Yarrowia lipolytica: one gene and its partner. The protein of the gene in region 2 purifies or fractionates together with the protein of the main gene of each other region. This does not show direct contact. Links are inferred from orthologs where the notes say so. Each region holds a gene or a part of one and is shown on either strand. Other genes may lie near its edges.

Region 1 (6,719 bases), on a different chromosome or scaffold from region 2:
ATTATCACTATCAGAGCCGCCTTGCAGATGGCACCACTACAAATACCGCTGCGACGTGCTCCTCACATGTACAATATAAAACATTGCTATGGAGAAAGAGTACAAGTGGGGGCCGTAGCAAGGGGGGATTGAGTGAATATCGGGCCGGGAATTCCATACCAAATGCGAGCATTACGGATTTGAGGAAGGGCATGTGCTTTCAACGCGTATACATTAATTGCACCCCGCTATCGCCGGGGCACTAATACCAGTATTATCATAGATACCGCTCAAAATGGACTTAGAATCAGCAATAATGGGCCGATTAGGATGGAAAAAAATATACACAAAACACGAAAACATATAGAGAGCTTGATTATACAGGGGATAAAGTCCAGTTCATAGTTTCCCAGTGTTTCAAAATCACAAACATGTTACCCCCCCCCTACTGGTAGCTCGAACAAAGTTCGGCCCCGCGCAACGTCTGGTTTTATGACACCATTCAACAGGCTCAATTGGGGTCAGAATCGCTTGCAAATAATACAGAAATATTGTCAGAGCTGCAAAAAGTGGCTATTCAAATTGAACTTCACAACTGCAAAACACCGAACAAGATATATGGCCCGCCCCCATTCATCCCAAACTTCACCCCCCACCGCACCCCCACCGCACCCCCACCACATCTCATGAGCTTAATTTCTCCAATGTGAAATATATTTTACGATAATCACGAAAACACGAAATAATTCCAACGTGCTCATATAAATCGCACCATGAGTCACAAACACAAAAGATAGAATTTCTGCTGACTCAAACCTATCACCGGCGTTAAATTGGGTACAATTATACTCCAGAACTCTCTAAGCAACACAACACAAATTGCTATCGAAGTCATACCAAGCAAGTCCTGTGCACTGTAGGTAATCTCACTTTTAGGGCAAGTTGCGGTGCGAATGAGTCTTCTGAGTTGTTTAGTCGGCGACAGGAAATGCTTCACCAACTCTTCGTAAATGCGGTTGTTTGTATGATTTGCACATGGAGTAGATGTAGAAGGTAGAAGGGACGTATAGCTACCTGAAGTTTCTAACTAAAGTTTCAACAAATGCTAAAGTAACTCATTAGATTATACAACAGCACAACATGAGTGCGAGTACGATGTCTCCAGGATGGCCAATATCCCGTAGTCCTAAATGAACAGCTTACATTACATCCATTGGTATATACCACTTGTGCTGTAGATGGTTTTGGGAACAATGAATGGTTACCCAGCAGACCGATGCAGACCAGTGACCAGTGGACTTCCTATTTCAACTAACCACCCAACAAATTCTAACTAAACTAACAAGAGTTTAGTTGTGCATGATTTGAGGGTCTTGTTGAAGTGAAGCGGGACATATTACAGTAGTTTCAGTCAGCTACACTACTTTGTCCCTGATCACTATCTGAAAGGAGAGCTTTACAAGTGGTCAAAGTGGATTATAACAAAAAAAAGAGGACTGAGAGACCTCCATACATTCAACATATCACGATAGCCGACTCTCAAGAGCTGTGGAATACTTCATCGCCATTCCCCAATCCACCTCCATAGCTCCCTCAACCTCTCTTATTAGCCAATTGAGAAAGAGAATGTCGTTATTTTGAATTCTAATCAGAAAACAGACCATCATCTATCCAACAATAATTGATACATAATACGGCCATCTCCAAGGTAGGGTTCTCAAGTGTTGTGTCTAAAATACGAACAACAGCCTACTATCGCACTGGTACCCGTTTACTACAACTCAATGGCTTCTTCTGTGGAAGTGTTATGATCACTAGAGCAGACCGTTGCTACGTTCACTCTCGTCAGAGTGCTGGTTGGGCCACCACCCGCTCATCTAATAACATCTATCAATTAACTAACAGTCTAGAGCAGGTCTCGCTTGACAAACTCGTCGTAAAGAGTCTTACCGAGTCGGGCGGGAGAAGGCTCGACGGCAACACCAGCGGCCTCAAGAGCAGAGATCTTGGAGCCGGCACCACCCTTACCACCGGAGATGATGGCTCCAGCGTGGCCCATTCGTCGTCCGGGAGGAGCAGACACACCGGCAATGAAGGAGCAGACGGGCTTGGGGACCTCTCGGGTCTGGTTGTACTGCTTGAGGAAGTCAGCGGCCTCCTCCTCGGCGGTACCTCCAATCTCACCGATCATGATGATACCGTCGGTGTTCTCGTCCTCGAGGAAAACCTTGAGGCAGTCGATGAAGTTGGTACCGGCAAAGGGGTCACCTCCGATACCGACAACGAGAGACTGGCCGAGACCGACCTGGGTGGTCTGGTTGACGGCCTCGTAAGTAAGGGTTCCGGATCGGGACACAACACCGATTCGGCCTCGCTTGTGGATGGAAGAGGGCATGATACCGATCTTGCACTGGCCGGGAGCAATGATACCGGGGCAGTTGGGACCGACAAGTCGGGTCTTGGACTGGGTCTTGAGCATGTCGACCACTCGGATCATGTCGTGCTGGGGGATACCCTCAGTGATACAGACAACGAGGGGCAGCTCGGCCTCAATGGCCTCCTCGATAGAGGCGGCGGCAAGAGGAGGGGGGACGAAGATGGCGGAGGCGTCACATCCAGTCTCCTTCATGGCCTCGGCAACGGTGCCGAAGATGGGGAGACCGAGATGGCTCTGGCCGGCCTTCTTGGGGTTGGTTCCTCCAACGACCTTGGTGCCGTAGTCGATGGCCTGCTGGGCGTGGAAGGTTCCCTGCTTTCCGGTGAAGCCCTGGAAGAGCACCTTGGTGTTGGAGTTGATCTTCAGGTTGTTGACGGTATCAGCGTAGCTTCGGACGGGGGCAGAAGTGGAGAAGGATCTGTGTTAGTGGGGGGAAGGAGATGGTCTATTTTACAGCTCAATTGCTGGTCACATTCATACGGTGTTGTCTGTTTTGTTGCAATGTCGTCGCTCTGTCCTGCATGCACCGGATTATTCCGGAATATCAACAACCACATGCAGCCTCGGTTAATTTACCTGCAGACGGCACTGCTGAGGGGGCGACTGGCGACGGTGCACTCAACCCGTGGAGCTGTCATGGCCATTGCACCGCTCGCCGTCGAGGTCTGGAGACGCTGTCCCACGCGTGCAGTAGTGTCCGTGATTTTCCGACCACTCAAAGTTACGTCAAATTCCGGAATTAACAGCGCATGAGTAAAAAAAAGAGCCGTGGAAAGGCCAACGATAGAGGGCGCGATCAGAGTCCCCGACACGGCAATCCGGGCTTCTCGACGCTCGTACACGCTCAATTACCCACGTGGAGACATGTCTGGGTGGTTCTGTGACGGGTGCGGGCCCCCTCTTCTTTTCCGTCGAGTTTGCAGCACCTGTGTGGTGGAGTTGTGACCAAACGTGCACAGTTGACGACTGTGTGTTTGTGTGTGTTTGTGGATGTGGTGGCGCGCCCGTTCCAGTCGTCTTGTCTCTGGCAATTGCCCATTGCCCATTGCTCTACTCACCTGACACCCATACGGGTGGCTCGAATGGCGGAGTACATCTTGTGTGTTGTGTGGTTGGTAAGAGTGTGAAGTCCGTCTTCTTAGAAGGGTCTTCTTTAGTTCTCCAAGGTTGGAAACTTTACCTTTGGCTTTTTTTGCGTTGGGTGCGAGATTATACAGGACCGCACACACTCACACACACACACGCCCTGGGGGAGCGACCGACCACCACCGACTGCACCCGTGGTTCCTCCCAACGCTTAAACTCCAAACCTTGTCTTGGTCCAATGTAGGAGGAGAAGCCGAGCATGTTGGTAACCCTAGTCCACTGAGGGGTAGAAAGGGAGTGTTGGAGTGGACGAACAACGCGTGGGAAATAACATAACAAAAGGCAAAGGACAGTCCGCCACAGGCCAGACCCATATATATATATATATACACAACCAGACACCACATGGCACCACATGGCACCACATATTCTGTGTCGCAATCGGTATCAAGCTGGAAATCATTTGTCTCCGTAAACCGCCGCTCAACACCACATTGTAGTCACTCCGTTGAGCTCTACACTGACCCAAGCACCGGTAGCTCCCTATGGTCGTTGCCGATTCTTGGCCGCCGTGCATTTCATCTTATGCAAAACCTCCCCCAACCGAGGCAGGTCCAAAGTTAGAGAGGGGGCGTGCCTGGTGGTGAGTGCAAGAGTCGGGAGTATGTCGGCTCCGTCATGGTTCTGGGGAGATCGGGGGGTTTATATATTCGTGGATTGAGCACAAACACGACACCGCCACGACACCACCAACACCGACACCACCACAATTGTAGTCATGATTACTTTCAGCTCTGGGCCATCAGTTGTGACAGGACGCGTACACTCACTGTACCTTCAAGTATGGGTGAAATCGGAGCTGCAAAAATGATAGGCTTGAAAAATGCTGAAAAAATGGCTAAAAACCAGCTAACAGCTAGCGGTCCGACCACACAAACAGACAGGGGATGGGATGCACTACTGTCCATATACAGCACAGCACAGCACAGCAAAATACAACGGAAAAACGTCGGTTCAACATTTCAACAATCAATTCTGTCCCAAATAAAGCTCCCATTATAGTTGTGCCGCCGGACCAACCATGTTGCATACCTGACAAGTGCAAGAGATGCCGAACATAACTCGAGGTGGGGTAAGGCCCGAGAGCAGAGATGTGATGTGACATACACATAAATGGGCCACATGCCGTCTTCCAGGCAAAATTCCAGCCGTATTTGTGTCTACAAGACCCTTTTAACGGACCCAGAAGTTGGGTTGACAAAAGCTAAAATTATTTAATTAGAGTTGTGGTATTTGCCACCTGAAATATACACTGAAAAATATCGAAACAGTCTTAAAATCTCACCACCACACGTCTTGTCGAGTCGTGTGAATATACAATGTCTTTTTCCGACATCTCAACGCATGTCATGTATGTACTGTACACGCTTGTTGGCGCTCATGCACGCCGACATCTCATGAACGATACTCTTGCAGGTATGTCGGTTTTTCCGAAAATGACTTAGCCACACGAAAGTTCGAATCCCACCGATGACATTGTTTATGGCGTTTTTTAGCGTCCATGTTTTGGGTTTCCCTTCTGTAACCAAAACATGGAAGCAGCGAAAAATCAGGAAAATTCGTATCAATTTTGATAAAATAGTTGTCATTTCGGAAAAAGCGCCAGAAATGGAAGAAAAAACCAAATATATAACACGCGTATTTCTTCTCCTTCAAACCGTCGTTTCACTTCGTGTCAGATACTCTCCACTTTCTCTTCATCCCACATAAACTCTAGATGCATATAAAAAATCCATCTTTGGCTTACATCACCTACCAACTGTTCATTTTCGTCACTTGCACACCTTCAGAACACTGTCCAGCCACCATGAAGTGCCCCAGATGTGGATCGACATCGATCAAGCGAGACGGAAACGACTCGTCCTGTGCCAACTGTGGTGTTGTCGTTGACGACGCGCCTATTGTGTCCGAGGTGACCTTCGGAGAGTCGTCTTCTGGAGCTGCCGTGGTGCACGGTTCGTTTGTGGGAGCCGACCAGTCCGGTATCCGAAACAACAACTTCCACGGCGAGTCACGCGAGCTGACTTTACAGAAGGGCAAGAACCGAATCACAGCGCTCGCACACGCCATGGATATCCCCCAACATATCATTGAAAAGGCCCATCGGTATTTTGTTCTAGCCGTCACCAAGAACTTTGTCAAGGGCCGACGGTCACAATACGTGGTTTCGGCGTGTCTGTACGTTGCCTGCAGACGAGAACTGCGACATGAAATGCTTATTGATTTCGCAGACAAGCTATTTTGCAACGTGTTTGCTATCGGAACCACTTACCTGCAACTGCTCAAGACATTGGACATCAAGAACCTGCCACTGATCGACCCGAGCATCTACATTCAGCGGTTTGCGTCCAAGCTCGACTTTGACAACGCAAAAAACGTGCGAAACGACGCGGTTCGACTTGTTCAGCGTATGGGACGTGACTATCTGGTTGAGGGTCGTCGTCCTGCCGGTATCGCCGCCGCCGCATTGCTGCTAGCAGCTCGAATGAACAACCAGCGTCGGTCCAAGACGCAGATTGCATTTTACGCCAAGGTCGCGGAAGAAACGCTTCAACGACGTCTGGACGAGTTCAGACACACCGAGGCTGGTCGCCAGACCATCTCAGTGTTCCGAATGACCAACATCGAGTCGCAGTCGGACCCGCCCTCGTACCAGAAGCATCGAAAGCGGGAGCAGGAAGGTATTGAGGAGAAGGTTCAGGACGAGATTGACGCGGAGATGGAGGAGATGATGGCGCAGATGGTGGAGAAGAACGAAAACCCGGAGGAGCGGGCCAAGGAGGCGCTATTTCTGGAAGACACTCCGCAGGAAAAGGCAGAGAGAACCGTTCAGAACAGAGCCCAGTATATCATTGAATACGAGCGAGAACGGCGTCGAATGCTCAACGAGGAGGCTAACAATGCCGCCACAGAGGCACTTCTGGCCATGAAAACACCCCATGAGCAGATGATGGAGGATCAGCAGACAGCCGAGAAGGAAGGAGGCGACGCCAGACCTCCAGTGGTCGAGTCGTTATCGGATCTCGACGACGATCCCGAAATCGACTCCATTCTGCTCAACGACGAGGAGCGTAACATCAAGGAGGCCGTCTGGACCACCGTCAACATGGAGTACCTGCAGGAACAGGAAACCAAGTTGTTGAAGATCGAGGCCGAC
Region 2 (6,824 bases):
GCCAAGGAGCACTTGCATTGTATGTGCTTTTTTTAAAAAAAAAGATGAGATTGGGTTAAGTGTGGAGATCTGCATTTAGCCGATTGCTATAGTCTACAAGTACAAGTAGCGCGACATCTTAGACAGGAAAGAAGCCAAGGCGAACGAAAAGGGATATGGACAAGAACCGACATGGAAACTATCAGATTAAACAAGCAGTCTCAACATGGCGCATCTATGATCTCAACGAATACATAGCTCCATACTTCATAGCAGGACATAACCTAGAAAAGTGCCATGGGGCGACTATACTCAAGACGCCGATGTCAAAAGAGTCGCCGTTTTACGTCAGTCTAGAAGGGTGGACATAATGATACCGCAACGACCGCCCACGTGTGTTCTATGTCGGCAGTAGTGCGGTGGCAATGAGCGCTTCAGCCTAACCGCACATAGCTCCACCAGGGTTCTGTACGACAAGCATGTAACGCGATGCCACGAGTAGAGGCGCTGGTGCCGATACTAGTTGTCGCTACTTGTAGTCTCCCTAGCGTCGGACTTTTTTGGCAGGACCACACTCATGTACTGTGGGTCCCATCTCAGCCTAGACCGTAAACAACCAAGAATCCAACAGACGAGCCGAGCAGTGCTTTTGTTCCACAAAATGGTAGAAATGGTACCAACCGGTGAAACTTTGGAGAAGCTAACGTCCTACAGAGTACAAGTACAAGTAATAGACAGGGTCTTGTGTTGTGGCTCTCCTTTTTGTAGTAAACACAAGACACAAGAAAAGCTACAAGTCTATAAGTTACCATGTTCGACTATCATAAAATGTTGCCAGGGTGCACACTAGACCCCGTGGTACATTCCACAGGAGAAGAGTTAAGACCCGAACTTTCCATATGCACCCCAGATCGAACTTGCCTCTAATTACTGTATGTACCCGTGCTCGTACTATTACAGTACATACTCGTATTCGTATACGAATTGTAAACTACACTCACGTCTATCTATAACATATCTATTACTACTCATAACTTGGTCTCTAAGCGCGCTTAAAGAGGCAGCTCAAAGGAGACGTTAACGTCAATCTCTCGGGCCATCTCAACAACCTTGGAGAGCTGGCAGACCTTCTGGGCAGCCTCATCAAGATCGCCAAAAGAGAAAATCTTGAGGCCAGAGTCGGAAATGAGCTTCTGGGCCTCGGCGAGGTTGGTTCCCTGGAGTCGGGCAACAATGGGAATGTTGAGGTTCATGTTCTGAGCAACAGCAATCAGACCCTTGGCAATGTTGTCACATCGGACAATACCACCGAAAATGTTGACGAAGATAGCAGTGACACCGGGCTCGGAAGTGATGAGCTCGAAGGCCTTCTTGATGGCGTCGGCAGTGGCTCCTCCACCACAGTCGAGGAAGTTGGCGGGCTCACCTCCGTACAGCTTGATGATATCCATGGTGGCCATAGCGAGACCAGCTCCGTTGACAAGACAGCCAATGTTTCCGTCGAGCTTGATGAAGTTAAGACCGTGCTTGGCAGCCTCAATCTCCTCGGGGTCCTCCTGGGTCAGATCTCTCCAGGACCAGACCTCCTCCTGTCGGAAAGAGGCGTTGTCGTCGAAGCCGAGCTTGGCGTCCATGGCAACCACTCGGTGGTCGGTGGTCTCAGACAAAGGGTTAATCTCGATCTGGGTGGCGTCCTTGTCGGTGAAGACCTTGTAGAGCTTCTTGATGTCGTCAGCAGCCTCCTGGGTGGCCTTGGAGGAGAAACCGAGGGCCTTGGCGACCTCAATGGCCTGGGTGTCGGTGACACCGGTGTGGATGTCAACGGGGAAGGTGTGGATGGCATCGGGGTTCTCGGCGGCAACACCCTCAATGTCCATACCTCCCTGGGAAGAAGCGACAATGATAGGCTTCTGGGTGGCTCGGTCCATGAGGATGGCAACGTAGGCCTCTCGTCGCACAAACTCTCGCTCCACAACGTAGACGGCAGTCACAGGCTTACCCTGGGGACCGGTCTGCTTGGTGAAGATCTTGTGGTTGAGCATCTGCTCGGCGTACATCTTGGCCTCGGTGGGGGAGGAGATGAGCTTGACACCGCCCTTGAGGCCGTTGTCGAAGTGGCCCTTACCTCGGCCACCGGTCAGAGCCTGAGCCTTGATGACCATATCCTCGCATCCAAGCTTCTTGGCAATATCCTCAGCCTGCTGGGGGGTAGTGGCGGCGCCTCCCTTGGGGACATCGATACCGTAGTTCTGGAGGATCTGGGCGGATCGGAACTCGTGGAGAGAGAGGTTTCGAGTCTGAGTCTTGGCGACCTGTGGTTAGTGAGATTAATTTCTTTTTTGGACAACGGGGAGATACGCAGTGTCAAGGGACGGCTCAAGAGAACCCCAGTCGATGGGGTCAATTGCCACTTCGATGAGAATGGCATTGCGCTTGTGTTGGTCCTGCCCATGCTCATTATCCCTCTGCACGCACGAATTTCATATTATGTGCATGCATGTGCATTTAGCCGAGGCGTTTTTCCGGACGACAATGAACAGGCCGTTGGAGATAACAAGACGAATGTGGCGAGGTGGTTTGCGACTCAATTGCCCATGATCCACAGATGTACGTTGCCGGTGTGTCGTTCACAAGACCCCAGCGTGGTTTCCGAGCGTCTGGACATGTGTAACCACAAACGCCGAAAAACGCGCACCGGAAAAACAGGACAATTGTCGGCGGAAACAGACACCGGTAGGAGCCATTGTGGCGGGCTGTGGCGCCAAATACTCACCTGATTAAGTCGAACAGCTCGAGATCGAGCAGCAATTCGCGAAAACATGTTGTGGGATGGTGTGTGGTTTGCTGGTAAGAGGAAAATGAAATCCACGAGCCTTTTACTTTTTGGTTGACAGCACCAACATGTACACAGTGTTGACTGCCGGGTAACAGCGGACGCTCTCTCAGAGTTAGTGTGTTGGGGGTTTTAGAGGCAACCAAACGTCCTACTTTGGCGGTCTAAAAGCCGCTGGAGGGACGGAGAGCTCCCAAGAATCGCCTTGGGGGCTATGAGTGGCCCACCAATGGTTTCTACTGTGTCCAGTTCGTCAATTGCGCTCTACACCCCCTCTAGACACGATTCTCTTTCATGCTTACCCCTCTTCCAAATGCACCCGCTCAGCTTAAGGTTATTCTGTTTTTACATGTGTGCCGAGTAAAGACCTTGTGAGGCCGAGCCAAGGGGACATGGTTTACTGGGAGATAGCGGCCGTCGCCGACAGTTTCCGAAATAGTGTGGGTCTAAGTCCGAGGGTCGTGACGAGGTCTGGAGGTCAATTGAGGCCGAATTGTTGGCCATTTGAACCGATAAAGCCATGCCATCTGCTCCAGTTGCCACACGGCGTGGTGGGTACCACCTGCCTCATACTGTAGCCCCTCACAGGTACGATAATAGCCATTATACTTGAGCCGTGGTGCGGGTGATGAGCCGTGGACATTTTTCGCTTATAGACTTTGGGCTTTAGAGTTGGATTGGGACGTCGAGGTTGAGGACAATTGAAGGAAGAGGAGGAGTCGAGGGAGTAAATGGGATGGTTCTGGTGGTTGCGGAGGTTTGGAATTCTGTATGAGCACCAATCCAGACTCTGAGATTATATTTATCTACTTTTTTTGTCCAAAACGACTTCCAAACCTCGCAAATCGCGCTCCGTTACCCTCCGAAGACACTACAAATTTGCGTCTCAAATTAAGCCCTCTGCAAACGGCGTGTCACGCTAATTACGCGCCTACTAGGCTGGAGACGGTGACCGTGATGAATGAAGGTGACCAAAAGTCCCACTTTAAGTGGTTCATGGCCGCCAGGTCACGTGGAAATCGTACATCTAGCTGACTAATCCAACCCTCCCGCCGCCGCTCCAATAATCACTCATCTCTCACTCATCAAACCCAATGCGCAGAGTTTCAACGTGTGTGCGTGGGCCTCCTTCCACTGGACAGCGGCGTTGCATCCTGGCACGGCTGTGAGTGGAAAGAACCGGAGGAGCTACGATATGTACGATACCACCACGGACAGGCACCGATCAGCAGAAAATTATAGCAGGAACAAAACGGGGAAAATATTCGTGACAGAATAATTGGAGGCCCCAAATTGACAATAGAAAAGCAACCGCAATGCGGACAGAACAATCCAACCAGCCCCAATGAGGCATAAGACGCTCTCAATACGGCCCACAACGCAAGATAGCTGTCACCCGCTTTTGAGACCGGGTACCTGTCAAGTCACAGGGTCTCTTGTTTTTCCGCATCGCAATTTCAAAAGGATCTAACGGATATCATAACCCAGTCAAGTCAGGTTTGCGGATACAGAGAATGTAGAAAGGTGGGTCAGTTGTGCTCGTGGTGTTTATACAACTCGTCACTTACTACCACATCAACTCCTAGAGAGACCTTCCACCACAACCCCCTCCGAACATGCTCCGCCCTGTTAGTCCGTACCGTAAATGTATCCCCGCTTTCTGCACACTCATCGTTGACCTGTGACAGCTGCCAGTGAAAATCCACTAAAACCTGTTAGTCTCCCGACTTTCTCCGAACTCAACTGTATCGTGGTACGGACCATTGAAACGACCGAGAGAAACGACAGCACGGTCTAATCACCGTAGCTAATGGCTCCGAGCTACCACTGGCAGCGACAATGGTGACACGGACTCGGATTAACTGGAAACTCTATCTACTCAACAGATGTGAGAAGAATGGAGGGTATGGCTGGTGGTGCTTGAGTTGGGGGGGGGCTGGGCGGGGTTGGGGTGTTCATGCTCCTTACAATGGGCTGAGTTGAGTTGTGGTGTTTGGTGTTGAGGTGAGGTAGCAGTATTTGTGCTTGCCAGGAGGATCTCAATGTTAGGTGTGGGTGTGTAAGGGTGAATCGACAGGTTATGAGTGGATGTGGTTTATGTATGGGCATGCCAAATGGGTTTGAACATGTCCAACTGCCATTTGCTCTCCATTATATTGCCATTACTGCTGTGTCTGGCGCCCGTCTGCACCAGTCCTAGGTGCGAGATCACAGCAGCAGCTCATTTACACCTCCATCACCGAGTTCATGCATGAGAACCTAATCAAGAAAAATATCACAGCGAGAACACTACATCAACACAACCACATTTGCATATCCATCATGTCCACGCTCAATGTCAACGAGGCAAAAGTACTTAACGCCAAGTTTGCGGTCTCCATTGACTCGGCCCAGAAGCTCGTGAGCGGCTGGATGAGCGACAGTGACGGTGACAGTGATCCCGGCGGCGCGGATGAAGATGCTCAGAAACTGCTGGTCAAGCAGCTGCAACCAGTGGCGTCTTGGGCTGGAGTTGGCTCCAAAATTGGCACGGCGCCTGGAGGAGGCCGCGTGACGAAGCCAGATACCTCCAAGATGTCTGCATCCATGAAGGCGCTGAGTAAGATGCACAGTAAAGGCAGCCAGGCCAATGCGGTGGCTACCGTGACTCCCGTGATGCGACAGGGTTACGTGGTAAAGAAACACGCTGATGACAAAAACAAGAAGGACGAGTCTGACTCGGACGAGGAGGATATCAAGAGCAGGTCGAAGAAGTCTGCCAAAACCACAGGCAACTTTCTGGACGAGTACAAGAAGACCAAGAAGAAGCGACGTTAGCCCAGACGGACGAAAGAGCTTAGAAAATTGCTTGTGGCCTGGCCTATTATTTAATTATTGCATGTATTATATTCTTTAAAGGTGCTGTGCCAAACACAATAGATAGCACCTCCAAAATACTTGTGCTATAACTGTATGTCAGTACACAAGGAACTAAACATACCAGACAAGTACTTGTAGTTAGTTAGCTCGAAATCGGCACTAATTGAACTCACTTGTAAGTGTTGCCGATTGGCGTGTCTGAAAGTGTCCCCGATTATCTCCAAAAACTATACCCCCCCACCGCCCAGAAGTGCTAGACCACAATCTCCTTGCGCACGCACTAGCACAGCAAACTGTATGCGTTCTGGTAAAGAAGCTAGATGTACCCTGTCTAGTCTCTCTGGGAGGTGTCTCCTGTGCGCAGCCACCGTGTCATGCTTACAAACAGATCAATGGGGTCTGGACCCGTCTGGACGCGGCAACTTTGGGTTCACAAGTTCCGAGTAGGAACGGCTTAAGTGCAGTAGTCTGCAGCCCGTTGGAAAAGTGGTCTGATTATTAAGAAATCTGGGAATTTTGGTTAGAGATTTGAAGGTGCATCGATCAAGTACGGTTAAGCAACACCTTACACGGCGGGGTGCACGAAAGAAAACTGAAGAAATGTGATCCACAGAATGATACAAGAGGGAGGGGGGAAAAGGTGGAGAAGCCCAAGGTCACGCGGAATGACGCCATCGCTCTTGGCTAGCGTGTCGACTAATGTTTCCACTATTCTTCTAACCTCCAGTCTAACACAATGTCTACAGTACAACTCTCTGTGTGAGGTACTTGAACCGGTTAGGATTGCTTTTTTGTGGATAAATAGTGGCAGTATAGTAGCCGGTAGCTTGGAGCTATAGCCTCCAGAATCCGCCTGTTTACGGCCAAATTATGGACGTGTTTGCCTGTCGATTATTATCGGCCGCAAACCCCAGTATCGTGTCGCATCTGCCAGTGGGTAGATCCGGTCTATGTGTAGTAGTCCCCGGAGCGAGATCTGAATATAGAGTCATTGTTACAGTAGAGGGAGTGCCAGATCTTAGTCTGTTAAAGGCTAGGTAGAAGCCTGTACAGAATGTCAGGTAAAAAGTTGAGCTTCGTGGAAAGACCTTCGTGTATTGTTTTACTCAACACGACAGTAGCATCATGACAGACGTACCTTCACTCCCCCTCC

What was found.
Region 1: the proteins of YALI1_D05873g (region 2) and YALI1_E28575g purify together in Saccharomyces cerevisiae (affinity purification with mass spectrometry; 4 studies listed by BioGRID). This does not show direct contact. The link is inferred for Yarrowia lipolytica from reciprocal best matches to the Saccharomyces cerevisiae genes LSC2 and LSC1.

Annotation. Positions count from the first base shown.
Region 1 is NC_090774.1:2,854,655-2,861,373, forward strand, and holds YALI1_E28575g (uncharacterized protein), read right to left. Parts: upstream 3,513-6,719; coding exon 3,475-3,512; intron 2,835-3,474; coding exon 1,886-2,834; downstream 1-1,885. Other genes in the region: YALI1_E28599g (uncharacterized protein), read left to right, coding at 5,280-6,719. UniProt on the Saccharomyces cerevisiae protein: Succinyl-CoA synthetase functions in the citric acid cycle (TCA), coupling the hydrolysis of succinyl-CoA to the synthesis of ATP and thus represents the only step of substrate-level phosphorylation in the TCA.
Region 2 is NC_090773.1:585,092-591,915, forward strand, and holds YALI1_D05873g (uncharacterized protein), read right to left. Parts: upstream 2,801-6,824; coding exon 2,753-2,800; intron 2,292-2,752; coding exon 1,032-2,291; downstream 1-1,031. Other genes in the region: YALI1_D05892g (uncharacterized protein), read left to right, coding at 4,158-4,250, 4,301-4,510; YALI1_D05901g (uncharacterized protein), read left to right, coding at 5,060-5,629. UniProt on the Saccharomyces cerevisiae protein: Succinyl-CoA synthetase functions in the citric acid cycle (TCA), coupling the hydrolysis of succinyl-CoA to the synthesis of ATP and thus represents the only step of substrate-level phosphorylation in the TCA.